Arabidopsis thaliana: one gene and its partners. The protein of the gene in region 1 purifies or fractionates together with the protein of each later gene. This does not show direct contact. Each region holds a gene or a part of one and is shown on either strand. Other genes may lie near its edges. The genes, in order: CDC6, AT4G28230 and AT2G31920.

The links.
Region 2: the proteins of CDC6 (region 1) and AT4G28230 purify together in Arabidopsis thaliana (affinity purification with mass spectrometry, with the first as the bait; one large-scale study listed by BioGRID). This does not show direct contact.
Region 3: the proteins of CDC6 (region 1) and AT2G31920 purify together in Arabidopsis thaliana (affinity purification with mass spectrometry, with the first as the bait; one large-scale study listed by BioGRID). This does not show direct contact.

The regions. Positions count from the first base shown.
Region 1 is NC_003071.7:12,684,962-12,696,593, forward strand, and holds CDC6 (cell division control 6), read left to right. Parts: upstream 1-4,619; 5' UTR 4,620-4,624; coding exon 4,625-4,864; intron 4,865-4,946; coding exon 4,947-5,031; intron 5,032-5,113; coding exon 5,114-5,334; intron 5,335-5,419; coding exon 5,420-5,494; intron 5,495-5,580; coding exon 5,581-5,690; intron 5,691-5,788; coding exon 5,789-6,048; intron 6,049-6,175; coding exon 6,176-6,249; intron 6,250-6,458; coding exon 6,459-6,509; intron 6,510-6,602; coding exon 6,603-6,652; intron 6,653-6,808; coding exon 6,809-6,890; intron 6,891-6,992; coding exon 6,993-7,082; intron 7,083-7,334; coding exon 7,335-7,397; intron 7,398-7,492; coding exon 7,493-7,588; intron 7,589-7,689; coding exon 7,690-7,779; intron 7,780-7,860; coding exon 7,861-7,893; 3' UTR 7,894-7,911; downstream 7,912-11,632. Other genes in the region: AT2G29679 (uncharacterized protein), read right to left, coding at 4,315-4,437; ASA2 (anthranilate synthase 2), read left to right, coding at 8,938-9,163, 9,238-9,431, 9,519-9,708, 9,796-9,947, 10,026-10,141, 10,235-10,481, 10,583-10,639, 10,736-10,888 and 3 more. UniProt on the Arabidopsis thaliana protein: May be involved in the initiation of DNA replication. May play a role in endoreduplication. Could act as one of the factors that contributes to maintain endoreduplication competence.
Region 2 is NC_003075.7:13,992,771-14,002,645, reverse strand, and holds AT4G28230 (uncharacterized protein), read left to right. Parts: upstream 1-5,338; 5' UTR 5,339-5,447; coding exon 5,448-6,656; 3' UTR 6,657-6,867; downstream 6,868-9,875. Other genes in the region: EXPB3 (expansin B3), read left to right, coding at 701-860, 957-1,257, 1,566-1,695, 1,997-2,200; AT4G28240 (Wound-responsive family protein), read left to right, coding at 4,407-4,667; NDB1 (NAD(P)H dehydrogenase B1), read right to left, coding at 6,995-7,082, 7,157-7,276, 7,361-7,482, 7,567-7,830, 7,923-8,247, 8,340-8,590, 8,667-8,873, 8,965-9,223 and 1 more.
Region 3 is NC_003071.7:13,569,770-13,580,726, forward strand, and holds AT2G31920 (elongation factor 1-delta, putative (DUF936)), read right to left. Parts: upstream 6,613-10,957; 5' UTR 6,599-6,612; coding exon 6,029-6,598; intron 5,630-6,028; coding exon 5,252-5,629; intron 5,184-5,251; coding exon 5,092-5,183; intron 5,002-5,091; coding exon 4,284-5,001; 3' UTR 4,251-4,283; downstream 1-4,250. Other genes in the region: CHX21 (cation/H+ exchanger 21), read left to right, coding at 1,275-1,487, 1,870-2,326, 2,422-4,250; AT2G31930 (uncharacterized protein), read left to right, coding at 7,797-8,228; AT2G31940 (oxidoreductase/transition metal ion-binding protein), read left to right, coding at 10,831-10,957.

The DNA of each region.
Region 1 (11,632 bases):
AAAATAGGTAAAGAGAGGAAGAAAAACTCACCGGAAAATTTAAGTCTGAAATTTTCTCGGAGGAAAGCGAAACTCACTCGGGAAAATCCTGAGGAAGGCGCTTCACTTTTATTTTAGTAGAACGCGGAGAGAGAGAGAGTGAGGAGATGAGCTTTTATATACAGATGTCAAGGAAGGGTTTGTTGCGCACGAGTTTATGATCGAAAATATCGAAATTAATTAAATTAAATATATGACCGGGTTAAAGCCGGTTATACAGCGACGTAAAGAATCTGACAAACAAGTAAGCCGGTGACAAGAACCGACTCACATGATTAACCGGAGATGTCATTAGGATTTATTATTTTTACATCTGACGGTTTAAGATAGACCAAGTGTCTCCCAGACTATTGGGTTTTCTTTTGTCATTTTCTGACAACTAGTACTAGTGTATTGCGTACTGTATTTTGCCAATTTAAAATTTAAACCAATCAACGGTCTTGGAAAAGCCATGTAGATATTTTACTTGCTGTAAGATAATAATTTATTTTAAAATGGTTTAATTAGGAGTGTGAAAATAGTAACAGTTTTGCAAGAAGGTATGCTAAAAGAGTGGGTCCCGTAGTGTCCATGTAATCTGGCGTTAACTTTGATGTGTGGTAAGTGTTGCGATTTGCGTCTATGTTCATTTTGCCCTCTTTGGTATCAAAATTTTTACATCTTTTTCTTTTAAATTTTGTTTGTATAGAAAACGTAAATACGTCTGATCCAAAATCGACGGATTCGAAAAATCGTAAATCGTTCATGAAATGTGAGATCAAGTTTTGTAATGATGCAATGAAGGAAATAATTGCTTATAGAAAATTATGTTTTAGTTTTACCAAAGTAGTGATAGAAAATAATCTCCGTTCTAGGGAGATTTTGATTACACTGTTTCTCTATATGGTTATATAGTTGGGGTGACTATATAGTGGATCCTACTATTTTTTACTTGATTTGAGTAATTTATAAGATACCTTTTTCTGTGCATGTGCAATGATGATTGTAACAAATAACTACGACTTCGTAAATTATCGCATGCATGTATTTTTGAGATATATATCTAGTTTCGTAAGATTTGGAGCTGCCCCATTTAACAACTTATATTTTAAATTGAACAAATATCAAAACGTATTTAATAATTTCATAACCAACACACAATTCAAAACACCAAAACCGAACTAAACTGAAACAAAACAAAGAAAACCAAATTAACTGCAATTGAAATTTACAACAACAAAAAATGAACCAATTTACAATTTCGGTCTCAATTTGATAAATATGTATAAACGTGAGTTAAACAATGTAGACCATAATGGACGAGCTTATAAGTTCTAGTTCGGGAAAAATCAGCCGAAAAAACTGTAACCAAACCTAACCGAAAAATCGAAAGTTAAGAAGAATAACACAAGTGGTTTATATCTTGTTTTGTTTATAGGGTGGTTATATCTTGTTGAAACGTGCCAAATGGAGGGGGTAAAAAAACCGACGGTGGAGAAGGAGAGAAAGGTATGCACCAACTTGCCGTAATTTGACGTCGTTGAGACATTGACGTTAGAAGAAGGTGAAGAATTGACGGCTCTCGTTGGTATTCGGCTTATGTCCTTCTTAACGGTTGATATTTATTGTTCTTTCAACAATATTGGACTCTTCTCACCTTTCATTGATATTTATTTATTCCCTTAGTTTATTCAATTCCATTTTACAAAACGTACGGTGGAATCTGACCTTGTCCTAATTTCAGTTTTTTTTTTCCTTTTTATTATCGTCTATATTTGGACCATCGAGAATATTTCGTAATTAAAAACTTTAGGGTACACATGGATTTAAAACGAATTAGCTCGTCTCGTTACGAGTTTTATGAATATAGGATGTGAAATGTGTTTTGAAAGAAAGTTCTAGAGGAACATATACTGATTATAACCAGTCCCTCATAGAAACTAAGCTTAATCGAAATAGACATGAAATAGCAACTGAATTCAACGTTAATCATTATATCACCAGAAGAAGAATGGTAGATGTATATGAGAAAGAAAATAAGTACTGAGAGCAGTTGTAATTATTCTTGAATAGACATAACATATTGTAATCTCGACCAACTTAAGGTGTAATTTATATCTTATAAATCCTTGTTCTGTAACTCTATTTACCTTAGCTCTCCATAACTATATTATTTGGATGAATAAATCCCTGATAATTGGCTTCTTTTCTTTAAAAATATTCTAAATAATAAAATGCTTTCGAACAAAAGATTAAATATTATTGGAGAGTTCATAGAAATATTTTTCCATACCATTTTCTAAATGCATTATTATCAATGTTGGTGTGGACCATAGTCGGACGGTAGGCTAAGGGTGTGAGATCCGCTTAGTTCTATTAAAAAATTCTCGTATCCTCGGCATGGCCCGTCAATTTAAGTAAATATAAAATATGTAATATGAATACTTGAATTTAGCAAGAGATAAGATCATGTGGATTATTTGATTTGTTCGTTTGGGAAATGTACAATTCTAAAAGGTGAAAAAGTTAGTTATAGATTATGCAAGTGATGGAACTAATTGCTAATGGGCAGCGACAAGGAAGACTAGTATTAAGACAAATCATAAAACCAAACGCTAAATGTCCAAAAATGTATGGAGGGTTAATAAAAACAAAGAGAAAATGATAGAATAAATCATGTGATATATACTAAGGAGTAAGGGGGTTTGGTTTATGAAGATTGATATGATGGAGCTGGGCAATGAAACAAATGACGATATGATCGATGGGCATTACACAGTGAAAAACTTTTTGGCAGTGAATAATGTTAATTAAATATGATCATGACGATATCAAAATAAGATGTTAGATATATATATATATATATTCACATTTTTTAACAATAGAAGATCTCGATACGGAGGTGTTATATGTTATTTAACAATAGGAATGTGTTACTTTGTATACCAAGTTGTCTAGGGAGGTAAGCTGTTAAATTGACCATATTTTTTGTGTGAGGGTAAATATCAGTGAAACGCATCGTATATTGGTCATCCGATAAATATTGTTGTATTGCATGTCAGCCTTCTCAAGAATAATTTTGATTGGATATGTAGTGGTTAATTAGTTGGCGATTGAAATACCACCTAACCTCGATTTTGGGGTATTATGGAAAAAATGGCAAAAAGTAGAGTTTGAATTCTGACAATGAGAAGAAGAACGTTCGCAAAGCTCAAAATGTTTGTTGAGAATGTGTATAATCAAAATGTTTCATTGTTTTATATTTATTTTTGCCAAGGTTCATTTGCTTAGGTCTTATGTTGTAACACCTATCTTTCATCTAATGATATTTACTCTCTTAGCAGCAAAAAAAGAGAGTAGAATTTGGATTCCGACAATGAGAAGAAGAACGTTCGCAAAGCTCAAATATTGAATGCAATTTAATTTATATAAGGTAAATAATTTGGTTGATTAATATGCAACTCTTATGTACTTTATATAACACAACAAAATATAAAAATCAAATTAACATATATAGGAACTAAATTCTTACATAGTTATGACTCTTGAAAGGAGGATATAGCCAATACGAAAATCAAAAGGAGAGAGACATTACAAAGGCCACCACTCTTATTATCTCTTATCTTCTTTCCACCTAGTATTTATCAAAAAAATCCTTCATTTTATATTCGTAGATATCTAGTCTACGCATGCATTGATTTTTTTGGATACATGCACATCATATAATAAATCATCGTCAATTCATGTGGATATCCTTCTTCTATATCAATGCATTGATTTTTTTTGGCAACAAATCGTATGATATATGATCAATGTATGTGGATATCCTTCTTCTATATCAATGCATTGATATTTTGGCTACACATCATATGATATATCATCGATTTATGTGGATACCCTTCTTCCATAAAACCTTTTATGAACCAGATATACATGAAAAATATCTCCACGTCGTCTTTATATGTTGATATGATGATATCTCATACTTCAATGATTATATATATGAGGAAATAAATAAATATAAGTGCATTGACAGTTTGACACATAGATCACCTAGCTTTCTTATCTTATATTCTGATTCTTTTTTGTCATTATATGTAATTTCTGATCTATCAAGTAGTTAAGAGTGAATAAACTATATACAGTTGCTTCATATTTTTTTATACTATATGTATATAATGAGAAAAGCTATTATAGGTTAAGATACGTTTACTATTGTTGTGCACGTAATTAACTATTATCACTTTTTTTCCCCCGCCAGAGATGGTAATGTGGTAAATGGTCATATATGGGCCGTTAAAGGGCTTTAATAGGCGTTAAATTGTTCAAACCATAATGCGGCCCAATAAAATTGCCGCGAAGCCGATGGTTTAAAACGGTAGCCGAAGAAAACCGGGCGGCGAAAAAATTCTGTTCCATTGCTATTTCCCGCTACTTCCATTTTTCCCTCTTTGTTTACTTTTTTTTTTTTTTTCATTTATTTTTCTTATCTCATTTTCCTCTTAAAAACCATGAGATTGATTCTTCACTTCGATTCCATTGGATCTCAATCTCAACATCGATCTCGATCTCCCGCCTTTTTTCTGCCTCCTTCTGATAACCTACAATGCCTGCAATCGCCGGACCTAGTTCTTCCCCTCAGAAACATGTCGTCGGTTCTAGATCGGAGAGTATCGGAGGTGTTAGATCCGCCGAAGTCAACACTTCTCGGAAACGGAAGTTGATATCCGATTCGGCTGCGGAGGTTTCAGCGACGGTGGTGTTGCCTGTGAATTCGATATCTACACCGATGAAATGGAAATCGCCTCGTCGATGTGCTGTTTCAATCCCTAAGACCTCTGATGAGGTAAGCTCCTTGTTCTTAGTTTAATTGTTTGGTTTAGTTTATTCGAGTGAGAGAATCAATTTGATTGTAGTTCTGATTGCAGGAGATTAAGGAAGATTCTAATGAAAAATTGGAAAATCCAGTGATATCTGTTTGTTTAGAGGTTAAATCAAAGTGGAACCCTAAAGGTATGTATATATGATGAGCTTTTTGATTCTCATGCTCTTAGTTAGTTTGATTGTATGATTGATGTATCTTGAATGGATACAGATGATGAACAAATGAAAGCTGTGAAGGAGGCATTACATGTATCTAAGGCACCGTCAACTGTTGTTTGTCGTGAGGATGAGCAAAGACGGGTTTTCGAGTTTGTTAAAGGTTGTATGGAGCAGAAGAAGGCTGGTAGTTTGTATATATGTGGGTGTCCTGGAACTGGAAAGTCACTATCCATGGAGAAAGTAAGACTACAAGCTGAAGAATGGGCAAAGCAGGTAACCAATCTTTGTGCATGTTTCATAAATTGTGATTAGTTTGAATCTTTCAATAGAAGGATTGATCTTTCATGAATTCTTACAGGCAGGTTTGCATTGTCCTGAAACAGTGTCTGTTAATTGCACATCACTGACAAAAAGTACAGATATTTTCTCCAAGGTAAGACCTTATCCAGTCGAAAATTACTCGAAGTTATTGGTCTCATCATTTCAGTATAGTTGTTAATTGAGTTATTTTGTTTTTAGATACTTGGTAACTATGAGTCCGGGAAGAAAGCTAATGGTTCATTTTCACCTCTACAACAACTTCAGAGATTGTTTTCTCAAAAGCAACAACAATCCAGATCAAAGATGATGTAGGTTTTTCTTTTGTTTTTGGTCTTGTGATATGATGACCTGCTAGATAAGTAGATATAATTTGTTGCGCTGTTTCTCATTCAAACTTTATCTGCAGGCTAATAATTGCAGATGAAATGGATTACTTGATCACAAGAGACCGAGGTGTCCTTCATGAGCTTTTTATGCTCACAACTTTGCCATTGTCAAGGTGTATACTTATAGGTACTGTCTTTTGCGTTATTAATGTTCATTTTTTAAAATCTGTTTCCTATGGTCAAACAAGTTTTAAGTTTAAAGTTCGTATTTGTCCTCCAGGTGTAGCAAATGCAATAGACCTTGCAGATCGTTTCCTTCCAAAATTGAAGTCTCTTAATTGTAAGAATTTCTCCATCACTGTGTGGTGCCATTTGAACACTCTTCTTTCTTCACCATATGTACCTAAGCTTTGATGAAGATTAAAAGTTGAGTATACTTCTGTAACTTATACTTCCATCCAATGCAGGCAAACCTTTGGTTGTCACTTTCCGTGCCTATTCTAAAGATCAGATCCTTAGGATTCTGCAGGAGAGGCTTGTGGTAAGTCTTAAAAGATGCCTTTAATGAGAGAGGAATGGCTGATTAATGGTATTCAAGGAATTATGAAGAAAAAATGCATAGTAGATTAACATGTCAATAACAATTTTTGACCCATTTAAGGACCTTGAAACTATATGATGATATATCTAATCTAAACTTATGGTACTTCTATGTTGATCTTAAATTATTATTTTCACTATTTGTAACAGGCACTTCCATTTGTTGCATTTCAGTCCAATGCCTTGGAAATATGTGCAAGAGTAAGAAAATATATGTCATTTTTTTATTTCTCTCAACCTTGTTTTCATTTTGATATTCTTTAATTGATATTCATAATGTTTGCATTGTTCCAGAAAGTATCAGCTGCATCAGGAGACATGAGAAAGGCTCTATGTGTCTGCAGGTGAAATCTCTTACGAATTTCGTTTCCTTTGAGTTTGTTCTTGTATTGCATATGATGAATGAGATAGAAATGGGCTTTATACTGTAAATTCACTCTTAAAATCATTACATTAAAGATGACAATCTCAGTTAACTCACATTTTTTTTCAATTTCCAGGAGCGCTCTAGAAATCTTAGAAATAGAAGTTAGAGGATCAATAGATCAAGAACCAAAAGGTCCAGTTCCAGAGTGTCAAGTGGTTAGTATTTTACTCTCTACTTTACTCAGTTCACTTACTGACGATGCAAATATCCATAGAAACCGTTGTCTTATCCCATAATTGTTTTTATCGAATCTATAGGTCAAGATGGATCATATGATAGCTGCATTGTCCAAGACGTTTAAATCTCCAATAGTTGACACCATCCAGTCTCTACCTCAACACCAACAAGTAAGTTACACATCAAAACACACACACTTATTGATATCTGGTTCTTCTCGTTTTTAACTATTAAGTAACTGTTAGGATATGCTTACAACATGATCTTACCTAGAATTAGCAAAATCGTAGTATTAAGAGAACAAACTTGAAGTCACAAAGAAACTAAAGACCCGTGTTGGTTCTCTGACTTAGTGGCTAATAAGACCTACTCTGAAAGTATGTAATGGACTGAAATAACATGCTTCTATTGAAAACTTGCAGATCATAGTCTGTTCTGCTGCAAAGGCTTTTCGAGGGAGCAAAAAGGATAGAACCATTGCAGAGGTAAATCTTCATTGAATGAGCAATACACAAACACAACTCATGAATTTATAGACATTGTACATAATATTCATCTCTGTCTTCACACTTTGATGCAGTTAAATAAGCTATACTTGGAAATCTGTAAATCTTCGATGATAACTCCAGCTGGAATTACTGAGTTCAGTAATATGTGTACAGTGCTAAATGATCAGGTACTTATCTAATCCTATAAGATTAACTCTCATGTTTGTGTATGGTTTATGCATTATATAATAGACATTTGATTGAAATGTCATTGTTTTGTTTGGCACAGGGGATTCTAAAACTTAGTCTTGCTCGAGACGATAAACTAAAGAGAGTGAGCCTTAGAGTAGATGAAGCAGACATCACATTTGCTCTTAAGGTATATACATTACACTCTTTGTTTATTATTCCGAAAATGCAGTTTCTTAAGTTAACACCTTCTCTTTTCATTGCACCACAGGAGATTCGATTCTTCCGCAACTGTCTTCTATGATGAAGTTACTGAGTTATAGTCTTATAGATGGGTTGGTTCCTTCATTCTTTACAGAATACAAAGAGTTATATATATATAAAAAAATCAGTACACATAAATTGTTTATTCTGTCATGTAAATGCAGGAACATAAACAAAATATAATCTTTATTAGTTTTTACTGGTTAGCGCAAAAGCTGAACTCATATTATGTAATTCTTCTCTTTTTGTACTATTAGTCATGCTCTCAATGAAATTAATGCCATCAAGTGATTGTCCTTGACTCCTTGATTCCTGAGTGTTCGTCTGATGCATTGTGGCTATTAATTCCGTTCAAAATCTTGGAGGTCTCAGCTTTAGTCTAAGGCATTTTACAGCCACTATGCGCCGTGGTTCACAAAAGCCCTCATATACTGAAGACTCTTTTCCATTTGCCATATTCTTATTCATTATAATATAAACAATCTATTAATCTTTTTACCAACTTTGTCATGAACGAATTCACCCCAACGGAAAGTTAGAAGTGTTTAAAACATCTCCAAGGTGCTCTGGTGCACCATTGGTTAAAATAACATGTGCATCAAGTATATTACAACTTTTTGTTGATTTGCTATGATTGAAAATGTTTTTCTTCGTATTTTTTAATTTTAAAATCTCTATGAAATTATTAAAATATCCATGAAATTATTAAAATCTATAGCTTAAATTTCAAAATCATGGATTAAATATTTTAAATTATTGATTGAATAGCACATAATTTCAACTTGGAAATTGAAAATTACCAAAAATTCTGATTAAATTTTAAAATTAACACAGATCATGAATCCAGCAAACCCCTAAGGAATAAATGTTGGTTATAAAACTATGCTTGACTGTTTTTTGGCAATAAAATCCAGATATGCTTTCGTTTGCGGTCCCATTCGGTCCGATCGCCGGTCCGGTTTAGAAAACATTGCTTTATGGGCTTTGTATTTGTAGTACTGTAGTGTATATATTCTTCTCCCAGTCCACACTTAAAAAGGTTTAAACTGGTATCGAAAGACTTAAAATCAACGAGCTCACGGGGATGTCGGCCGTTTCAATCTCCGCCGTCAAATCTGATTTTTTCACCGTCGAAGCCATAGCCGTTACACACCATCGGACGCCGCATCCACCACATTTCCCTTCGCTCCGGTTTCCACTATCGCTCAAGTCCCCGCCGGCTACTTCTCTTAACCTTGTGGCTGGATCAAAACTCCTCCACTTCTCGCGTCGTCTTCCTTCTATCAAATGCTCATATACTCCGTCGTTAGGTAAAAATCTGATCTCCCCCATTATTAGCGCCTCTCAATTTCGATCGAAGTTGAACTTCTTCTTCTCCTCACAGATTTATCGGAGGAACAGTTCACAAAATTTAAAAAAGCATCGGAAAAGGGAAACTTAGTTCCTCTATTCCGATGTGTATTCTCGGATCATTTGACTCCGATACTTGCTTACCGATGTTTGGTGAAAGAAGATGATAGAGATGCTCCTAGCTTCTTGTTCGAGTCTGTGGAGCCTGGTTCGCAATCGTCCAACATCGTAAGCCTTCCTTTTTGATGATTGTTCTCAGTGTTTGCATTTTGTTTGGTTCAATGAAATTGAACTCTTGGAGGATTTTTCTCTTAGGGTAGGTATAGTGTAGTTGGAGCTCAGCCTACAATAGAAATCGTTGCAAAGGGAAATGTAGTTACTGTGATGGACCATGGAGCTAGTCTTAGGACAGAGGAGGAAGTGGATGATCCAATGATGGTTCCTCAGAAAATCATGGAGGAATGGAATCCACAAGGCATTGATGAATTGCCTGAAGCTTTCTGCGGTGAGTGGAGAAATCTGTTTTTAAATAGAGTGATGTTTGTTTTAGCATTGCTGATTTGTTTGGATGGTTGATTTGATTTGTAACCAGGTGGTTGGGTTGGATACTTTTCATATGACACTGTACGTTATGTTGAGAAGAAGAAGCTGCCTTTTTCTAATGCTCCAGAGGATGATAGGAGTCTTCCTGATGTTAATTTGGGTCTTTATGATGATGTGATCGTGTTTGATCATGTTGAGAAGGTATACTAGTATTTGCATCTTCCTGCGGATTATGAATTGAAGAGTTTATCTAGTTTTTCTTGATCCTGTTGAGCACAGAAAGCATATGTGATCCACTGGGTGCGGATAGATAAGGATCGTTCTGTTGAAGAAAATTTCCGTGAAGGAATGAATCGGTTGGAATCTCTAACCTCTAGAATTCAAGACCAAAAACCGTGAGTAGATTCGTTTTACCAGTCTTTAGATTGTAATTTTTGTCTTTTATTTGTAAATTCTGTTTATGCTCATGTGTTTCCTTTGAATTGCAGCCCCAAGATGCCTACTGGTTTCATAAAACTACGCACTCAGCTCTTCGGTCCGAAATTGGAGAAATCAACTATGACGAGTGAGGCATACAAGGAGGCAGTGGTGGAAGCCAAAGAACATATCTTGGCTGGGGACATCTTTCAGATAGTTCTTAGTCAGAGATTTGAAAGGCGGACATTTGCGGACCCATTTGAGATATATAGAGCTCTTAGGATTGTAAATCCAAGTCCCTACATGGCCTATTTGCAGGTATACTCTTTTGGTCCTTGTTTCCTTACATCTTTTCTGAAAATAATATTACTAATCTGTGGACTCTCTCTTTTATTTTCTTGTATGTGTTTAATTTACAGGTTAGAGGATGCATATTAGTTGCATCAAGTCCAGAGATATTGTTACGTTCAAAAAATGTAAGTGTTACCTACTCTCTCCTCTTAATCTTTGGTTCCCTTAATCTATGAACTTCGTTTCATGAATGGCTCAATGTGTGTTTCTTTCTACTACAGAGGAAAATTACCAATCGCCCCCTTGCTGGAACTGTCAGAAGAGGGAAGACACCCAAAGAAGATCTAATGCTGGAAAAAGAGCTCTTAAGCGATGAAAAACAATGCGCAGAACATATTATGCTTGTTGATTTGGGAAGGAACGATGTTGGCAAGGTTCATCACTTTACCACTGCTTTCACTTTCAGTCTCTTACCCTCTTCTTTTAGAAGCTAAGATGCAGTTCTTACTCGGTAGTCTAACTTGTTGGATATTCTTGTAAACTCAGGTTTCAAAGCCTGGTTCTGTGGAGGTCAAGAAGCTCAAGGATATAGAATGGTTTTCACATGTCATGCACATTAGCTCCACGGTATGCTCCTATTGCAATTTTACAAACAAACAAACTTTTAATTCGAAAGTCCTTTGTTTTCAGTTTATAAGAGATCATAGTTGGATAATGAAATTTTTGAATAGAAGTGGTGTTGAAGCCTAGTTCTCTCTAGACTACAGAACCCATGAATATGTGACTTCACATGTTATGTACATGAGCTTAACAATATGCTGTCCAATTTCTGTTTGTCTCACTACACATTTCCATCTTCGCAGGTAGTAGGTGAATTGCTCGATCATCTAACAAGCTGGGACGCTCTTAGAGCTGTACTTCCCGTTGGAACCGTGAGCGGAGCCCCAAAGGTTCTCTCTCACTAAAACAACAAACATTACACATTCACCATACTCAAAAATCATTTGTTACAGGTAAAAGCCATGGAGCTGATAGATGAACTTGAAGTAACAAGGCGTGGTCCTTACAGTGGAGGCTTTGGAGGCATTTCGTTTAATGGAGACATGGACATTGCCTTAGCTCTCAGAACAATGGTCTTCCCAACAAATACCCGTTATGACACATTGTACTCATACAAG
Region 2 (9,875 bases), on another chromosome or scaffold:
AAAACCGTTAACATTATCATATCTATGTATTTTTTAGAACGAAATGATTGATGCGTTGTGCACACGAGATTGGTCACTAAGATTTCGTTTGCGTAACATATCCACTCCTCTCTATTCATAGACTATACTCTATACATACTGATAACATACAAACAGTTATATTGAAATGCATTTAAAGTATTTGTTCTCTTATCTATAAGAAAACAAACTAACTTGATATCAATAAATGAAAAAACATATATCGTGAAGAAATCTGTATCGGAAAAAAAAAACAGAAATTAAAGGATTGAGTCAGGTATCTCTTAACGGATTCCTCTTCTCTACCACAGAATCTGCGGGAAATTTCAACGGTCGAATCTCATAAATTACTAAAGTACCCTTTTAGGTCCCTCTGACAATGACACGCTGGATCGTGCGAAATCGACGCCTTAACTGTCGGTGGGTCCTAATTTCTAGTGGCATTTCACCGTAAATAAGACCAATGGCAAAGGGACTAAACCGGCAAATAGAACTTTAGAAAACAAAAAGAGAAACCACAGAAAGCAGTTTGCTTCTACCTTTTATTTTTGTCTATATAACAACAACAACATTGACATATCAATTCACACATAAACTCACTCTCACTCTCTCACTGTCGGCAAACTAACTTATTCACTTTTCCGGCACTGATTCTGCTCGGGAAAAACAACTCCGGCACAAAATGCAGCTTTTTCCAGTCATGTTAGCCACACTCTGCATTGTCCTGCAGCTTCTCATTGGCTCGTCAGCTTTGGCTACGACAAATCGCCACGTGTCAAACTCTCATTGGCTTCCCGCAGTAGCTACATGGTACGGAAGCCCCAACGGTGACGGCAGCGACGGTAATTATAAGTCTATAACACATAATTAACCACACTTCACAGTCTAGTGATTCCTAGTTAAACACTAACATTAACTTATATACCGCAATTGTGTAGGAGGAGCGTGTGGTTACGGTACGTTGGTGGATGTGAAGCCGTTACATGCGAGGGTTGGAGCGGTGAATCCAATTCTCTTCAAAAATGGTGAAGGTTGCGGAGCTTGTTACAAGGTTCGATGCTTGGACAAGAGCATTTGTTCCCGGAGAGCCGTTACCGTCATAATTACCGATGAGTGTCCCGGCTGCTCTAAAACCAGCACTCACTTTGACCTCAGTGGTGCCGTCTTTGGCCGGTTAGCTATTGCCGGAGAGTCAGGGCCTCTCCGTAACCGTGGACTAATCCCAGTCATTTATCGCCGGTACGTATATTAATATTATTCTCATTATTCTTGTCATTTATTAATGTTTATGCTCTTTCAATAACTAACTCGTGACAGTGCACGAGCATATAGAAAAATAGGAATTATTTAGGTAAGAGGCTAAAACAGAGTTAATATAATTATTAGATTTATTGGAATGGGTGTGAATGTATTAAACAAAAGAGGTAACTTTAACGGCGATCTCGTTTTGTATGGTCCCAACCATTTCTTGACCATTGACCATTTGATCTCTTTTTTCTCACTGATATAATTTTACCTTCTTTCTTTCTTTTGCATAATAAAAAAAGGACTGCATGCAAATATAGAGGGAAGAACATAGCATTCCATGTGAACGAAGGATCAACTGATTTTTGGCTATCTCTGCTGGTCGAGTTTGAAGATGGAGAAGGAGACATTGGCTCCATGCACATTCGCCAAGTAACTCTCTTTTTATCTTTAATAACCAAACTCGTGCACGCACTTCTTTAATTTCCCTTTTTTCGTACCACAAAGTCACTTCCACTTCAAAAGTCTTCTTTTTATTTTATTTTACTGCACTAAATAAGAAAAAGGAGGAAACGAATCTCAGTGGAGTGAGCACATGTATGGATCTTTTATTGACCAGCTAGCTAAAAAGGCACACCACATCACTCAAAGTCTTCTAAAAAGTAACAATAAAAACAGACTCAAAGTGTAAAGACTGATGGGCTTTCTTGTGTTTTGTGAATGTTTGGTGCAGGCAGGAGCCAGGGAATGGTTAGAGATGAAGCATGTATGGGGAGCCAACTGGTGCATCATTGGAGGGCCACTCAAGGGACCATTCTCCATCAAGCTCACCACTTTGTCTGCCGGTAAAACACTCTCTGCCACCGACGTTGTCCCTAGAAACTGGGCTCCCAAAGCAACTTACAGTTCCCGCCTCAACTTCTCCCCTGTCCTTTGAACCATCTCTTCTACATAGTCAAAGACTATTATAGTTCTATTACTACTACTACTCGTGTGATCGTTTTTTTTTAGAGAGAAACAGAGTGACTGCTGGCCGTAGGATGGAAACAGTAAGAAAAGTACATCCGAATCAACGGCTATTGCGTTCTCTCCTCTTCCTTCTTGTGATGTGGATTTGTGTGTGTGTGATGTGTCGGTGAGTGTGTTATAGAAGTCACTATAGCCATCTTCAAAGGGGAGATAGAGCTAGGAGTAGTATTTGGTGGTGTCACGTCGTTTGTTTTTTCTATATAATTTTTGTCACTATGTCTTTCTATTATGGGACATGGCATAATATATCATATGAATAATTTATCACTATGTCTTTCTATTGTGGGACATTACATAATAATGTATGATATGAATATTATGTACACTACTTCAGAGAGAGCATTGGTATTCTACCAGAACCTTCAGAGTATCTCTTCTTGTTTCGTCTCCTCAAAACCCAAGAAATATAAAATATACTACGAACTAATACGAAGCTTCAGGTTCCACTTCAGGTTCCACTTCTGTTTCAGAAACTGCATCTTTTGGGGTTTGTTCCCAACTGATATTGGCTCCTAAACATTTGTCCTTCATGTATTTTTCATCTTTAGTATATATCCTCTTTCCTGATTTTGTTGGTTTTGGATGGAGGAAGTGGTATCACATATCACATATGTTGTAGGATTCGTCTTCAGAAACTCTGACACATTCTTGATAGATTTCTCTGTTTTCCCATCTCTGAAGGTTGTTTGTCTGCAACTTTTACCACTATGTTTTTCTCAATGTTGGGAACCTCACATGGGATCAGCTGTGCTTGTCAACTTATTTTTGGAATTTCTCTTGGACCAAGTAAAGCTGCAAGAGACACCAAATCCACTCAAGTCTAGTCATACAGAGAATCACCTGGAAAAAAAAGCAAGTGAAGTCAAAGGAATGTGATTCCGCGTAGCTATGATCTGATCAACATGCATTTTCTTTTCTCAAGGTGCAATGGCGTTTTAACTTGACCATCAAACATTGAGATATACAGTCTATACAAGTTAATAGTCATGGTTATTATAGTATTATCTGACGGATTCAAATTTGACATATAAGAATCGGGGAAAAGAAAATGTAGAACTGGTTATAGCCAAATGCAAGAAGATATGTGATGCAATAAGATAGTTTGACATGAGCATAAATGTGATAGACATATGCTTAGATTAGTAGAAGAAGCAGACAGGGCTTATCTAGTATAAGTGGGATAAGCATAATATGTGAACGGCCCACATCCTCACAAAGCCAAGTCCAACTATCACAAGATTCACTCATTCCACTAATAAACGTTTTCAAATTAGAATGACAGAAGAATATGATAGTTAAAACTACTCATTAATATATTGGTGATAAAATAAAATAAAATAAAATAAAATTAAACTACTCACATATAATTGGTTGGATTAGTCATTAAAGATAGCACTTAGCAAATCAAAGTAAAAACAAATACTCACTACTAATAATAAATTAACCGGAAGCAAAGGGACAAGAAGTATTGATGGACAGTAATATCACGTGAAGGGGCACGTGATGACCCAATAATCGGTTAACACGTAACCAATCCCCTCGTGGGACTCTATCCTAGTCTCTAGGCACCACCCCACCCCTCACATAAAACCATCGTTCCATTTTGGTTTTAGGCCGACCTATCGGTTTTTCATTTTCGTATAAAACAAAACAAAACAAAACAAATTTACATTCAACAAAAAAAAAAAAAAAAAAAAACCAAATTACAAAAATAATTAAGAATGGGGCCCACATGAAGGGGTCGATAATTGAAGCAAGGGTGACTCATCTTGAGGATAGGACCCTCTAAGCTCGCCACTTGTTTCCTCATTACTCAGCACTTTCAATTTCCCCCGAGATATTTCACGATAACTTAACCATATCGTACCGTATCGCTTTCCTATACCTGGATCCCACTAATCCATTGTGCACGGTATCGCTTATTTTAGATCTTTTTGAATTTACCTATTTACCCTCACCCCAATATCCCTCTGGCTATAAGTACCAACCTCATCTCTTCATTTCCTTCCTACAAAAATCGAACTAATCTTCCTTTTTAACAAAAGCTTCTCAAATCTTTCAAAGGTTTCCAATTTACGAAGAAAGGATCTACAACATATAATCACTATTAAAGAATGAGTTATCTGAACAAAGTGTGGATGGCAGCATCGTTCGTAGCTGTTCAAGGAAACGCCGATCACGGCGTCAAGTTAAAAAGCGGTCTCACCTCTGCTCACCGTCTCCAACGAAGACTTTCCTCCGATCTCCGTCCTCTCGCCGCCGCAGATCTAACCGGCGACTCTCTCCCTTCGGAAGAAAGACGTCGTACCTCTTCTTCCACTCCCGATGAGTCTCTCCGACAAGTCATGTACCTCAACTGCTGGGCTCAAGGCTAAATTCAGATAATGATGGTCGTGGCTCGCTCATGAACTCCGCTGAATCAGAATTTTTTTCTGATGCAAACTGTATATAGTTTGGTTCATCTGTGGTGGTTGACTCGTGCTTATGAAATCGCTTGAGTCGGATTTTCTGGATGCAACTGTATAGTTTGGTTACATCTCTGTGAATATTAGAATGTTCTAAAAGATCAAAGCAAGCCTTGGATTATGAGAGAACTCTGTTCATTTTCTATATCTTAAAACATCGTTCGCTCACCAACTTTATTACAATCTGGAATCTTGATTGCGATTACCACTAATTTCAACTTTATCCACAGTAAAATACGATTCTAAATTAAACAATAGTACTAAAATATTCCAAAACCATCGTTATCCAAAGAGACAGACAAGTCAGTCACTCCATAATGCTTTTATTTATTTATCTATTGTGGTTGTCATTATTGAGGTAGGTCCTATAATTCATCTTACGAGCAAACTGAAATGTTATATTCGTCGGGCCAATTGTGCGAGGAACAAGAGGCCCACAACGAGATCAGCTCTTGGGCTATTTGGCCCATTTATGTAACTTGGCTTTGAATGAAATCGGAGCGTGGCTGCTTAATCCAACGGTCCAAATCTGACGACGCTCCTTAATGGAGTAATGAGTAACGTCTCCTTCATTTCCAACGGTCAAATAATCCTCAAGAAATACTCGCTTCTTCCTTCTTCCTCCTCAAGTGTCCAATTCTTTCTCCAAACCCTAAATTTCTCGTAGAAGAAGATCAAATCGCTCTGAATATGACATCAATTGAGGCAACAGAAACGCTTAACGCTCCTCCAAAGCTTCAGATCTGGAACAACGCTGCCTTCGACGATGGAGATTCTCAAATCACTTCCGCCATCGAAGCTTCTTCTTGGTCTCACCTCAACGAATCATTCGATTCCGATTGTAGCAAGGAGAATCAGTTTCCGATTTCGGTTTCCTCTTCGCTCCAATCCTCAGTCTCGATCACCGAAGCTCCGTCAGCAAAATCCAAGACCGTGAAGACCAAATCCGCCGCAGATCGGAGTAAAAAGCGAGATATCGATGCAGAGATCGAAGAAGTAGAGAAGGAGATCGGACGATTATCGACGAAATTGGAGTCGCTCCGATTAGAGAAGGCGGAGCAAACCGCAAGAAGCATTGCTATACGTGGAAGAATCGTTCCGGCGAAGTTCATGGAATCATCTCAGAAACAAGTGAAATTCGACGATTCGTGTTTTACAGGATCGAAATCAAGAGCCACTCGTAGAGGCGTTAGTCTTGGACCAGCGGAGATATTCAATTCCGCGAAGAAATCTGAAACTGTGACTCCTCTTCAATCAGCTCAGAATCGACGCAAGTCTTGTTTCTTTAAGCTTCCTGGAATCGAAGAAGGTCAAGTGACGACACGAGGTAAAGGAAGAACGAGTTTGAGTCTGAGTCCGAGATCTCGCAAAGCGAAAATGACGGCAGCTCAGAAGCAAGCAGCTACGACGGTGGGGTCAAAGAGAGCTGTGAAGAAAGAAGAAGGAGTTCTCTTAACAATCCAGCCTAAGAGGCTATTCAAAGAAGATGAAAAGAATGTTTCTTTAAGGAAACCATTGAAACCAGGAAGAGTTGTGGCTAGTAGGTACAGTCAAATGGGTAAAACGCAGACTGGAGAGAAAGATGTTAGGAAAAGGTCGTTGCCTGAGGATGAAGAGAAAGAGAATCATAAGAGGTCGGAGAAGAGAAGAGCTTCTGATGAAAGTAACAAGAGTGAAGGGAGAGTGAAGAAGAGATGGGAGATTCCAAGTGAAGTTGATCTGTATAGCAGTGGTGAGAACGGTGACGAGTCTCCTATAGTTAAGGAGCTACCTAAGATCAGAACGCTTCGTCGTGTGGGAGGGAGCCCTCGTGATTCAGGTGCTGCTAAGAGAGTTGCAGAATTACAAGCCAAGGATCGTAACTTCACTTTTTGCCAGCTTCTGAAGTTTGAAGAATGAATGATCCGCTTATCAATTTGAGTAAAATCCACAACTCTTGTTGTGGTTACTTGATTGTGAATTTGTTTGGTTTTGATTTTGTTTTTCGGCTCGCAGAGCAAGAATCTTTGTTGGAATGCTTAATGTCTTTTCTAAATACACATTAAGATTGTGAGTTTTTGTTATCTTTTGTAAATGTCAGCTTCATGAAGAAAGATTCTTTCAAAAGGTTTTTGCTTTGCCACTCACAAACAAGAAGTTTGGCCACAGCTTTGTGAAATTTACACCAAAAACAAACGAAAAAGAGAGAGACTGTATCTTGGTTTCCTCTTAAACACATTACAAAATGCAGTATTGAGTCAGATGCGGCTTGAATCCCTCCCGAATATGTACCTCCTTGTCCAGTCCGACACCACCAGAGCCCTCGTTCGCCAGCTAACTTGCTTGCTGCATCATTCATGTTTCATGTTTCAAATTCTGTGCATTTACTATAATGAATAAAAGAGTTTCTCAGCGTTTACCTGGCATAAACAGAATACCAGAGCCACTGGGCGCTTTTTCCAGCTGAAACCCAGTCTCCAGGTAGTTCAGCTGCTGCTTGGTCCCCTCCTAGTGGAGCAAATTGTCCAAAGTGCTTGTACCTGTAATCAAGCGAAGAGCTTTCATCTCTATATCTTGGAAGTTTATGAGGATGCAAGGTCCTGAGTTCATTAGATTAGGCATACTGGAAGGGGCGAAACTGATGATGCCCGCCAGTTCTGAAGCGCTTAGGACCTTCAGGTAGCTCTTTACACTGCTCCATCCTGTTGAAGCATTTTGCAAGATAAGCACCTTGCTGGGCAGCGACCTATGCAAACAAACAAGCAGACCATTGACCCTGACATCCTAGATAAAACCCACGATTCTACGCATAGGTGAATTCACCAAGTACCTGAGCAGTTGCAGGCAGGGTTTTCATCTGTGAATCAGCCTCCGAGAGAGCCAATTTGAATGCCTCAATGTCTACTTCTTTCCTTGCATTTCCTTCAGAATCTGCCAGCAGATCGTTAATATGCCTCATATGCTTGCTTTTCAGGTAGAGCTCCACCTGCGGATACCTCACAATAATATCATCAACCACGCCTTCTAACTCTTCCATGGTCAAGGTTCCTGAGTTGTCCGCATCTGCAGCTTTGAATATGTTTGCAATATCCCCCTAAATTAAGATTCACAAGAATCTATCAAGATTTAGCATGCATATGAAAAAAAGAAGGGAATAGCATCAACAGTCTAATGGGGTTCACAGACCAAGATTTTTCGTTGAGCTATGGAAGCACAATCGCCAACTGCATATACATTCTCACATCCTGTCACTTGTAACCACTCGTTAGTTGCCACCGCACGTCTGCCTCCTTGGCCAACTTGCTCCATGAAGTCGCTGATAACTGGACGGGTTCCAACTCCAGTGGACCACAATATCAATCCATGAGGAATACTTACGAGTTCTCCACTTGATTTGACTTTCACTGTGATATCTTTATCAGTCACAGACATTACACGCATTCCAGTCTGAACATCAATACCATCTCGCGTGAACTTTTGTTCAGCAAATGAACTGATACGTTCATCAAACCTGCAACAACCAGTCAACCACTTGTCAAACTCCACAATCAAGCCTGGCATGAAGAAATGATGAAGAAGTCTATAGTACTGTTGATTACTTACGTATTCAGAATATGGTCTCCAGATTGAATGAGTGTTATTTTTACGAGCTCTTTGACTGAAGGGTATATTTTGGTGATATCCTCTATAATAAAGTCATGTAGCTCAGCTGCAAACTCCACACCAGTAGGACCTCCTCCCACGATTACAAAATGAAGCTTTCTTCTTCTTTGTTCCTCAGTGAGGCCAGGAAGGATTGCTTTTTCAAAGCAATCAATCACTCCTCTACGAATCCTCTGTGCATCCTCTACTTCCTGCAGTATTTTTGAAGAAAGGAATTATGAAATTGGGAGAATTATAATCTTCACAAGTTGAAACCATGAAAGTTACCTTGAGAAAATGGCAATTCTCAAGTACACCAGGAGTGCCAAATGTGTTAACTTGAGCTCCCACTGCTACGATCAAGTAGTCATATCCAAGGGAAAATTCTTGGCTTGCTTCAGGATCATCCTTGAAAACTGGTCGACAGTGAACCTTCTGATTAACATGATCAATCTTAAAACAATCTGCTTCCCACAATTCAATTTCCCCATTTTTCTGATAACAACAACAACAGATACTATTTAAGTAAGAACTTAGCAGATGGTGATGATGCCTGCATACAGTTTGAAAGAGAGGCCTTTGTTACCTTCTTGGTTATATTACGGACAGACTCCACAATGCTTCTAGCTTCAACAGTTCCACAAGTGACGCTAGGTAACAATGGCGTAAAGGCAAAGTAGTTCTGGGGAGACACAACCTGAACATCGTAGGAAGTTATGTCGAGATCTTTAAGGAAACTTATACCAGCCCAACCAGTCCCAAGCACAACTACTTTCTTCTTCTTATGCTCCTCCTTTTTGTTAGCTTCTTCGTTAGCATCAGCGTATGCCACTATACTTCCACCGCTGCAAATGTGTAAGAATACACAAACACACTCTCAATGAGCAATTCCCAAATGTGATTTTTTTGTTCACCCACAACAAGAACTTAGCTAAAGATACAGAACAAGCTAATCAGAAATACTACAGTTAAAGTTAGGAAAATATTGAGATTAAAGGCGGCAAAAGTCAAAGATTCGAGATACATCGGATTTGAGAAAAGGAAAACATCTAAGAAAGGTCCCGACTTTTGGAAAGCGATGACAAAGTGAACATTGAAAGGCAATGAAACCTGAGAGTGCCGAGGAGGAGGAGCTTAGAGGCAAGTGGAGCAGATCGAGAGGCTCTTCCGAGAGAGGAAAGTAATGTCATTTTGGTGAAAAGTCTTCAGAGGTTTGATTCTGAGAAGACAAAGTTGAAGAGATCCAAGAGAAACCTCTGACCGAGTTCAAGTACTGAGCTTTAGTAGCGACTTTTCACTAATTAAAAACGCTTAGTGTCTCCATAATCCAGATGTCGTGGATACAAAGTCTCCTTTTTTTATCTGGTCGATTGATTATTCAAGTTACATACAATTGATTAGCTTAAGTTAGTTACAATTGATTAGCTTGTGCCATTCGGAAATCGTGCAACCAATTATGTGTGATTAAATAAGAACTATTATATTGATGTTGCACAT
Region 3 (10,957 bases), 890 kb from region 1:
AGAAAGTGACTTTTCCCTCACCTAGTCACCTCTCGTCTCCACTAAGTCTCTTAACTCTTTTTTGCAGGTTTTAGAGCTTAAGATGCAGTAAAGGCGGCGGCAAATCAACTTCTTTCAGATATTCTCTCTTAGGTCATTTGCTTTGAAAACCATGCATTCCATAGAAAACTGTTTGGTGTAAGGTCACACTCTTCATATGTTTCTCCTTTTCAAAGCTTTATGATGCTTCCTTTTGAGTATGAATGGGGTCCTCGTACGTTGAACAAAATGTGAAATCTCTGCTTTTAGAACAATAAAGTTGTCTGCTTTACATTTTGATATTGCTACTGCACCAACTTTTCTCTTGATCGGCCATGGCCAGGTACTGTTTCGCTGTGAAAGTGAACTTCTTTCCTCTTTTTCATTAAAAGACAATAGTGCCCTTTACGTTTGTTTCCATCTCTTACTGCAGAGCCAAAAGGCCTTTCACCAATGTGTGGTGCTTAAACTTGAAGTCATCACCTTAAAAGTGTAGACTTTGTCAAATCTTATAGAAAGTTACATATTTTTCCATTTATTTATTTTCTGGGGTGTGTGAAGGTAATGGCCGGTGGAGAATCTCCGGTGGCGGTTAAGGCCGGTTTCTGAGACTGGACCATTTGGATTAACTTTTCCAGCTAGGTTTGGCTTTCTTTTCCCTCTCTTTTTTTATTTATGGTCGAAAGTTTTTATTTTAGTTTTGTTAAGTAATCTTTAAATATTCAAACCTGCATCATTATCTGTCTAATTTCTTGATCCAAGAACATCATGATTACATGTGCAACCCTGTGTTTTAGCCTTTTTCCTTAAATGAAATAAAAATATATCATTGTATCACTAAGGGAGATATTAACTCATCTATCCAAAAAACACTGATATCATGTAGTACTATTATTTGATAACAAGGAAAACAGCATGTAATTGGATTTTATAATCCCTTTATAACAGACTAAACAAGAAAACCAACCAAAATTGACTAATTTCATTTGCAAAAGAGAATACAAAGACAGCTAAATTACTAGTACTTTTCTATTTGACATCAAACATAAAAAAAAACTATAATTAGCAATGACAAAGAAGAAGATTAGAGAAAAAAAAAAAAAAGGAAAAACAGATTGTGTAGCTCTCACCTATTAATGCAATAAAACAAAACAGATGATGAAACACAAAGATTTTGTGAAAGGGAAAAGGCCAAAACCTTGGGTTTTTTTTGAGAGAATCCCGTTTAAATCTATTAAGGAAAATCCCCCCAATAAATGGCCGATCCCGCAGCTGAATCTATTGATGCAAGTTCGTCGCGGTTTGGGAGAGTCGTATGTTATAACCAAACGGCAATGCATGGAAGCAACACCATTTCAGCCGCAGCTCCTTTCTTTATGACGCAACTGTCTGTCGCTAATCTTACCTACCGCATACTCTACTATTTTCTTAAGCCTCTATGTCTTCCTCCTTTCGTCGCTCAAATACTTGTGAGTAGTCAATCTTGAAAACATATTTAACTAACCATTATCAATCTTTAAACTGTTTTTTTTCATTACTTATTACCCACAACTATTGCAAACCTATGTTTCCTTTTTTTTCTTTGTTAGCTATGTCCTAAAGAGTCTTCATCTTCAAATTCTTGATTAAATTTTTGCTAACAATTAACTTCATTGTTCTAACGAAAGTTCAGCTTTTTGCTTCTTTTTTTTTTCGAAAACGGTGATTTTAAGATAAAACCAAAATGATAAAAAATTTAAGATTTGTCCACTTGCAACATACGATTTATATTATTGGATCTTTTTCAAATTAATCTCGTACATAATTTATAATATGATCCTATAATAATTGTAATGATTATTTTGTTTACAGTGCGGATTACTGTTCAGCCCGACTGTGCTCGGCAATAACGAAGTGGTCCTTAAACTTATATTCCCTTATAAATATACAATGCTTCTTGAGACATTCGCAAACTTAGCTCTCGTTTACAACGTTTTCCTCCTCGGTCTCGGCTTGGACTTGAGGATGATAAAGATCAAAGACATCAAACCAGTGATCATAGCCATTGTTGGCCTCCTTGCGGCTTTACTTGCCGGTGCTGGCTTATACTACCTTCCCAGTAACGGAGAGGCCGACAAAATCCTAGCAGGTTGTATGTACTGGTCGATCGCATTTGGCTGTACAAATTTCCCTGATCTTGCTAGGATTCTTGCGGATCTCAAGCTCTTGCGTACGGATATGGGACATACTGCAATGTGTGCAGCCGTTGTTACTGATTTGTGCACTTGGATTCTCTTCATTTTTGGAATGGCGATTTTTTCCAAATCTGGTAACTAAATATGGTTGTTCCCTTGTGTTATTTTTCCTCACACACGCATAGTTACTGAATTATAGTACTAACGAAAACCATATTTAATTTGTTAGGTGTACGCAACGAAATGTTGCCATACTCATTAGCATCAACCATAGCTTTTGTCCTTCTCTGCTACTTTGTGATCCAACCTGGAGTGGCTTGGATCTTCAACAACACCGTCGAAGGAGGTCAAGTGGGAGACACTCACGTATGGTACACTCTCGCTGGAGTCATTATTTGCAGCTTAATCACCGAAGTATGTGGGGTTCACTCAATTACCGGAGCATTCTTGTTCGGTCTATCGATCCCTCATGACCACATCATTCGAAAAATGATCGAAGAGAAGCTCCACGATTTCCTCTCGGGAATGCTAATGCCTCTTTTCTACATCATCTGCGGTTTAAGAGCTGATATTGGTTACATGAACAGGACCGTGAGCGTTGGAATGATGGCGGTTGTGACTTCTGCGTCGGTTATGGTGAAGATTTTGTCAACGATGTTTTGCTCCATTTTCTTGCGTATACCTTTGCGTGATGGTTTAGCCATTGGTGCACTTATGAATACCAAGGGAACAATGGCACTAGTCATTCTCAATGCTGGACGAGACACCAAGGCATTGGACGTTATTATGTACACTCATCTGACGTTGGCGTTTCTAGTGATGTCAATGGTGGTGCAGCCACTATTAGCCATTGCTTACAAACCAAAGAAGAAGTTGATTTTCTATAAAAACCGAACCATTCAAAAACACAAAGGAGAGTCAGAGCTTTGTGTATTGACATGCGTCCATGTCCTCCCTAACGTCTCTGGCATAACCAATCTATTACAACTCTCTAACCCGACCAAGAAATCTCCTCTTAACGTTTTTGCTATCCACCTAGTCGAGCTAACGGGTCGCACCACGGCTTCGTTGCTCATTATGAACGATGAGGCCAAACCGAAAGCTAACTTTGCTGACCGAGTTAGAGCGGAATCTGACCAGATCGCTGAGATGTTCACAGCTCTCGAAGTGAACAACGACGGGGTAATGGTTCAGACCATTACCGCGGTTTCACCTTACGCAACGATGGACGAAGATATTTGTTTGTTGGCCGAGGATAAACAAGCCTGCTTCATTTTATTGCCTTACCACAAGAATATGACGTCAGACGGTCGGTTAAATGAAGGTAACGCAGTGCACGCTGAAATCAACCAAAACGTTATGAGCCACGCGCCTTGTTCGGTTGGGATTTTGGTTGACCGTGGCATGACGACTGTCCGGTTTGAATCTTTTATGTTCCAAGGCGAAACCACAAAGAAAGAAATCGCCATGCTATTCCTAGGAGGTCGAGACGACAGAGAGGCTTTGGCTTACGCTTGGAGGATGGTGGGACAAGAAATGGTTCAACTCACGGTCGTTAGATTCGTCCCAAGCCAGGAAGCTTTAGTCTCAGCCGGGGAAGCCGCGGACGAGTACGAGAAGGATAAACATGTCGATGAAGAGTCCATCTACGAGTTTAACTTCAAGACTATGAATGATCCATCAGTGACTTATGTAGAGAAAGTGGTTAAGAATGGCCAAGAAACGATCACAGCGATTTTAGAACTGGAAGATAACAATTCTTACGATCTTTACATTGTGGGAAGAGGATATCAAGTAGAAACACCTGTGACCTCAGGGTTGACAGATTGGAATAGTACTCCGGATTTAGGGATTATAGGCGATACATTAATTTCATCAAACTTCACAATGCAAGCTTCGGTTCTTGTGGTCCAACAATACTCTTCTGCTAACAGACAAACCGCAGAAAACAACAATCAAGAACCTGTCCAAGGTAAAGCCAAGACCGATCATGAGGCTACGCCTTTTATGGAAGACGAGGATGATGAAGTAGAACATCAGTACAGTATGCGCAGATGATTGTTTTTTCTTAACCCATATTGTATACATTCTTTAGATGGAATTTATAATCTTTCTTTTCATATTGTAAGTATCCCCAATGACAGATTCAATATGCTCAAGTAGAAACCGTTGCAGCTTCTTTCTTAAATCTTCGACTTTCTCGTTCGTTTCTGTTCTGTTTAAGTTCAGATCATCGAGCCAATGGTTTAAAGCTTTAAGGTGGACGAGAAGAGACTCTTTTCCATTTGTTTCTTCCGTCTTCACCAAGAAAGACCCTTTGTTCAATGAATTCTCCAAATATTTCAAGAACCATTGGCTGGAAACTTGGACTAGCTCATCCGCTAGACTCGTTGAATCCTTCAGACTGCTTTTACCTTCTAAGCTACTTCGGTCTGAAACAGAACAATGTTTCGTTGCAGGCGGTTTCGCGCCTTTGTAGGATGGGGTTCTTGAACTTGTTGTCTCCTTGGGGTTCAGTTTCTCGGATGAGTTCTGCATAACAATGTAGTGATGATCAGCAGCATCACCTTTCTTTCCAGGCTCTTTAAATAAGTTGAACTGAGAAAAACCAGTCACTACCGCAGCTTGAACCCAAGATGTTGCATTTTTATTTACTACTAATCTACACGAGCCGTTGTTTCGATTTTGAGTAAGCAACCGATGGACCGCTTTGCATGTATTCTGTGTATTGTGGTAGATGTCCAAGAACCGGGCCACTACTTGTCCAGTAGATAACTTCTTAGTAGAATCACACAGCTCGGCAAAGGCCCTGAAGGAACAAATTCATATGTATGCTATTATTAAGGACTCGCAAACTCGTGTAATGAAACTGGTTAGGGATGAAATAGAGAAGACATACTGCAAACTAAATAGAACAGACTCCATGGCAGATGCTTCCTCCAGTGCACTTACTGCTGCCGAAACTGCTACTTGCCTATGTGATGAAACTTCCTGAAAGGAGGGGTTGAAAGACATGACTACGAATTCTTAGAGTCGGTAGATTGATCCAAATACCGTACCTTTCCGAGCAATTGAATGGTTTTTGGGAGTCCACTCCATGACATTCTTTGATCAGACCAAGTCATGTGACTTGAAGGCACCTTAAAAAGCGCAACCGGAGGAGTCACTGCCTTTGACAAGGACTTGATACCATCTTTAGGAGACCTAGTCACGGATATAGGTGATGCAGGCTTGACCACATATCTGCTTCTTAAAGCAGGGGTTTCGCAGTTAAGGTGCTTTGATATAGGTGACTTGATACCATCTTTCGGAGAACTAGCCATGGATATAGGTGATCCAGGCTTAACCACATTCTTGTTCCTTAAGGCAGGAGAGGTTCCACAGTTAAAGTACTTTGATGGGGACTCAATCTTTAGCAGACTCTTATCATTCAAGACCTGCAAAAACATCACAAATCTGTGAAAGCCAAGGACTTCAAGTGTATGAACTGTGAAACCAATATCAAATTGCTGTACTATCTATAAGAAACAACTTTTAAGGTCTTCCTGAAACAAACTATTTTAGCAACTTAAAGAACAAGAAACCCTACACCACTCAAAACAACAGCTTCCACAATCCAACCAAATGCAACAAAAAGAATCAAACAGAGTGACTCACAGAGCAACATTCAAGGTCTACGAAAACTAGTCTAGTAGTATTGTTGGTTTCTCACATGTCACATATATCAATCTCATACCATTGTAGGCAACTTAAAGGACAAGAATCCCTACAAACCACTAAAACAGAGCGATTCACAGAAAAAAAAAAAAAAAAAAAAAAAAAGATGAAAGGTGTACCAATTTAGATTTAAGACGTGGTGAAGAAAGAAGCAATGCAGCGTCACGACGACGAGTCACCGGAGGAGTTTGATCCCAACAACTCCTTCTCGCGGAATCCAAACTCAATCTCCTTGTTTCAACAAGATTCTTTTTCTTCGTCGTCGTCGGAGAAACAGAGACCTGAGTAAAAGGAAGCAGCAAATCGCTAGAATAAAGATCGCTAGGGTTTCCAACACACATCCTCCGCTTAGGGACTGGTTTCAAACCACGGATTACAGGAACAGGACATCCTTTCTCGACGTGTAAACCACCGCATATGTAAATGAATTGTCCTAGCTGAATTTCATCGGAACGTATCAGATCAGCGTCATCACCGGTGGAAACGGCGACGTAAGCTGCGTGGAGAGAGTCAGAGACTTTGACGAAGAATGCTTCGCTACGCCATTGGTCGTCAGAGAGACAAGGAACGATTTCTATGACTTGGAGGAGTGGTGAACGATGAGAAGACAACAATGGCGGCGAAGAAGGTGAGTTTCCGGCGGCGATATTGAGAAGGTTGGAGAGAACTCCAGGAGTGAGGGAAGCCATGGTGGGAAAAGAAGCTGAAGCATCTTTTGGGAGAAGGAAGAAGAAGAAGAGTGGGAAGGAATCTCAAAGAGAGAGAGAGAGAGAGGTGTCTCGGGGAATGTGGAGAGTTCGTCGTTTACTGTGTCGGGAAAAGTAAACAGTTTTGTCTCTCTGTCTTCGAGATTTGGTAAGGGCTGCAAGTAAAAAGCTTTTGTTGGTTGCAGGTGTAAAGCACGAGCCTTTTTGTCTCTTTTGTAATATCCGATTGTGATTTGCAAGTGAGACTTTTTAGCAATATTTGATGTACACTACCTACAACATACTATGCATGCGATTAGGATGAAGATTTCTTTTGTCATCATAAACCTATCTAATCCTAACATCATAAAGCCTTTTACACACATTTAAGCGTGTATTGTGATGGGCCAAGTCCAACTAAAATTACTCTATAGAGAAAAAATAATTGTAAGAATATTTTCATGCAAGGCCTGTTTGATGATTAATACCTTGTCAAATTTATGGGGGAGATGCTTGGAATAGAAAACTTAAGTGAAGTGTCCAATCATTTACTTACCTGTGTTTGTGTTGAGTGTTGACACTCCAACTCGCCCATCAGGTCGCACTCCAACCAACCTTCCAAATTTTGTGAACTTGCTTTGTTTGTACCTTTGTTATCCGGTATCTCTTTTTCCACTTTTTTTTATTACAAGAAAAGTACATGATAAGAAGTTTCGGATCTTAACATTTCCCTAGCTTGGCGACTGAGATGGGTTTGTATCAATCTTAGGATCCTATTTCTTTTCTGCTCGAGCTACAAAAGTTACAGACACAATCTAAGTGAATGAGCTATATTGAATTTTCGACACGAGCTAGATAAATCCACACTATTCTCACAATTTCGGTTTTAAACGTATGGATTATCAACCCAAGCCTAGAAATTTGGTCCGTTGTGGTTTCAATTTATTGTATGCTACAAGTAACCCAAAGTATCAAGATAAATTAAGATTAGTTACAAAATAGACATCTGAGTCACGATTGTAATCATTTCTTTATTTATTAATTAAGTAACGAGTAGTCCAAACACTCACAGTCACCGACCTCTTACGTTATCAATTCAAAAGTGAAAATGGACATATAGCTACTCCTAATTCCTCTATATAGTTTTCTCCTTTGAAAAAGAAAGAAAGAGTATAGATTCTCTTTTGTATGATTAATAACCATGGGAAGTGAAGTAGTAAACCCGACCAAGCCACGGTTTGATCTAAGCATGTCGAAAAGAACTCGAAAACCATGGTCTAGTCTCATCAACGATATGCATCACCATGCAATATGCACCCAAAGCTCACAACCAAAACCAGACAAAGAACAAGAGCAAATCGAAGACAAAGAGATTGATCGTAAGAGTTTGAACAATCTGATGAGATGCGATGAGAAATTGAATGGAGAAGCTGATGTTAACAACAAGAGCTCTCTAGATCAACATTTCGAGGATGGCGAGGGGATCAAGCCGACGATGCAATTGGTGGTGAAGAAAGAGAAGCAAGGTGGTTTGAAATTCAAAGGTATGGTGGGTCGATATGTTAAGGTCTGGAGCGGTTTGATAAAGGCCAAACGTGACCACAAATCGCCGGTCTTTCGGTTTAAAACTTGAATCCTATATACGTACGTTTCATATACGTGATCACATATATATATATTATACGATTAGTTATTAGAGATAAGCTGTAGACTAGGCAGTTTTTTGGAATGTTTTGCGTACGTACGTATTATTGATGTGCACGTTTGTTGTTGGCATATTGGTTTTGACTTGAGATTGTAATTAGCACTATATACATGCAACTCTTGTTTTTTTTGTTAAGAATCTCACTACATGAGTTTTGCTTTGTGTTTTGAGCTTTTGCCAAAAAAACAAATCTGTTAAAGTCTTTTCGTCGTCAGATCTTAGGGTGTTACGGTTGATCTTTTTTGGTTTAACGGTCTAAACTGTAGTCGTTCTTTGCCAACTAGTTACGATTAGGTGAACTTTAGGTTTATACATAATTGTAATATATAACTTTTGATATTTTTGTAGCTCTAACAATTTGAAGTGTTTTTTATAAAGAAAAGGCAAAACATAAAGAGAAACCAAAGATAATGTTTTAAAACATAAAATATGTTCTTAAATACAACCATTTTTGTTTTTGGATAATTGTTTTACTTCTGTTTTCCAATTAATATTCGCGATATTATAACCCAATAAAAAAAAAAATCTTAAAGAAAAATAAAACACGAAGAATGAAACAAATTTAAGTGTTGTGGCTCGGATTGTGAGTTGTGAGTTTTTGTATTTTTCATATATATCAGATGACACATCGTGACATAGATGAACAATTTAACTGACGATGTCTGACTAAGACCTATCCTCATTTTCTGCCATTACAATAGTTACGGGGTTAACTAATTGCCAAATGTTTAAAATAGTTTATAGGTAAGTAATCTTCTCAGTCAATCAAATATTATTTTTGTTATACTTTTTTTTTTTTTGGTTTTAATGTTAAGGGTTTGTTTTACTTTATACGTAATACAATACAATTTCTTTCTAATTTAATCAACATTGCTTAGTTTCAATCCAAATTACATAATATAAAATATGCAGAAGCGTGGCGATTTTATAGCTATATATATAACCTCCAAATTAGTGATGCTTTAAATTCATTTCCTAAGAAGATAACATATAATAATATCAAAATATCATTGTAATAAATAACTTTAACACTCTATGTAGTTCATCCATATGATTTATCATATACTAAAAAACGAGTAAATACTCAAGAAGTCACATGAATAATTAACATAATTAAAGACAGTTTTTGATCCTCGAAAAACATATATAGTATCAAATTTGAATTCTTCGTTGTTAGATTCAGTTAGTTTGTCTAAATTAAAAATATATGGATGTTGTTTTTTTTTGTTTTTTTATAATCATGTAGTTTACGAAATGTACAAAACTTCTCAAATTCAATAGTTAACAAGTTTTTTTGTTTTTTTTTAAACAAAAAAAAAAAGACAATACGTAACAAGTTGACATCATGAAACTATATTTGACGATATTGTTTGTTGCTCTTACAATATGTCAATAACTATAGCCTAAAATCTTTGTCGTTCAAAATTTTCCTGCTCTTTATTTCCCTAGGGCTTTCACAACATATTTTCCGGCTTATCGAGTTTTTATTGTCGTATCGTACCGACTACTAGGCGGGTACGCATAACAACGTAGTTTTTTTTTGTTCACAAATAACAACGTAGCTAATTTATTTATTTTTCTTATATTATCATAGACTTTTGTTGGTTAAATAAAATAAAATAAAATGAGAACGTATCAGGTGACCTCAGATGTAAGGAAAGGGTCGGTAGTACGTGGCATATTATCATTGGGTATCTTTTTTACCAATTAAATTGGAGATGCATCATGCATGGCCTCACCGACCATGTTAAGTAACCTTGTGGCACCGTCGAAAAGCAAGAATCTTTAACTAAAGTGTCCAGTCAGCTCTTTTTCTTTTACTTTATTTCGGCTACCAAACATTATTATACTTCACAAAATATACGCCAAGTAATTTTTTTTTTTCTGCTTAAAAGTAGATTTCTGCAATTATAACTTTTAAGACAAAAAATAAATGTTTTAACAAATGTTTTAAGAAATTTTAAGCTTAAATTTTGTCCAGTTTTGATCCCAATTTTTGTCCAGTTTTGATCCCAATTATGTACCAAAATTATAACTTAATATTTCATTATATCAAACTGTATTTCAATATATATACAAAAATTTGTTGCTCATATCATCATATCATATCAATAAATAAACATACGTCAGATTACATTTATAGTTATATATATATATAATAAATTTAGATCTCATATTCTCATTGTTATTTTGATTAATTCCGTTAGTTCATTTAACACTCGCTTAATCCAGTTTGATTCATAAACCTATCTGTAAATTTAAATAATATATTACGTTATCCATTGTATAAAATTAAATTTCTATTACTGAATACAAAAGAACGTATTTAATTACATTTTTGTAGAATCCGAATTCCGAAGCAAATTAAACATTAATTGTTAATTAATTTCTCTTTATAAAACCCACCTCATCCTCCAACTTCTTCATCAATCTCAATTCTCAAACATCAAGAAGTCTCTACAAAAAAAAAATCTCACATCTAAAGAAAACTCTCAATAGAAAACAATTAAACAACAATCAAGAATCTATAATGGGAAGAGATCAAGAAGGAAGCCCTCCAGTTCCCTTACATCTCTGCGTCTTCGTCTTGATCCTCTTAATGTTCGTAACAATCTCATGGTACGCCAGCTACGAACCAGTTATAGAAGGTTTTACGT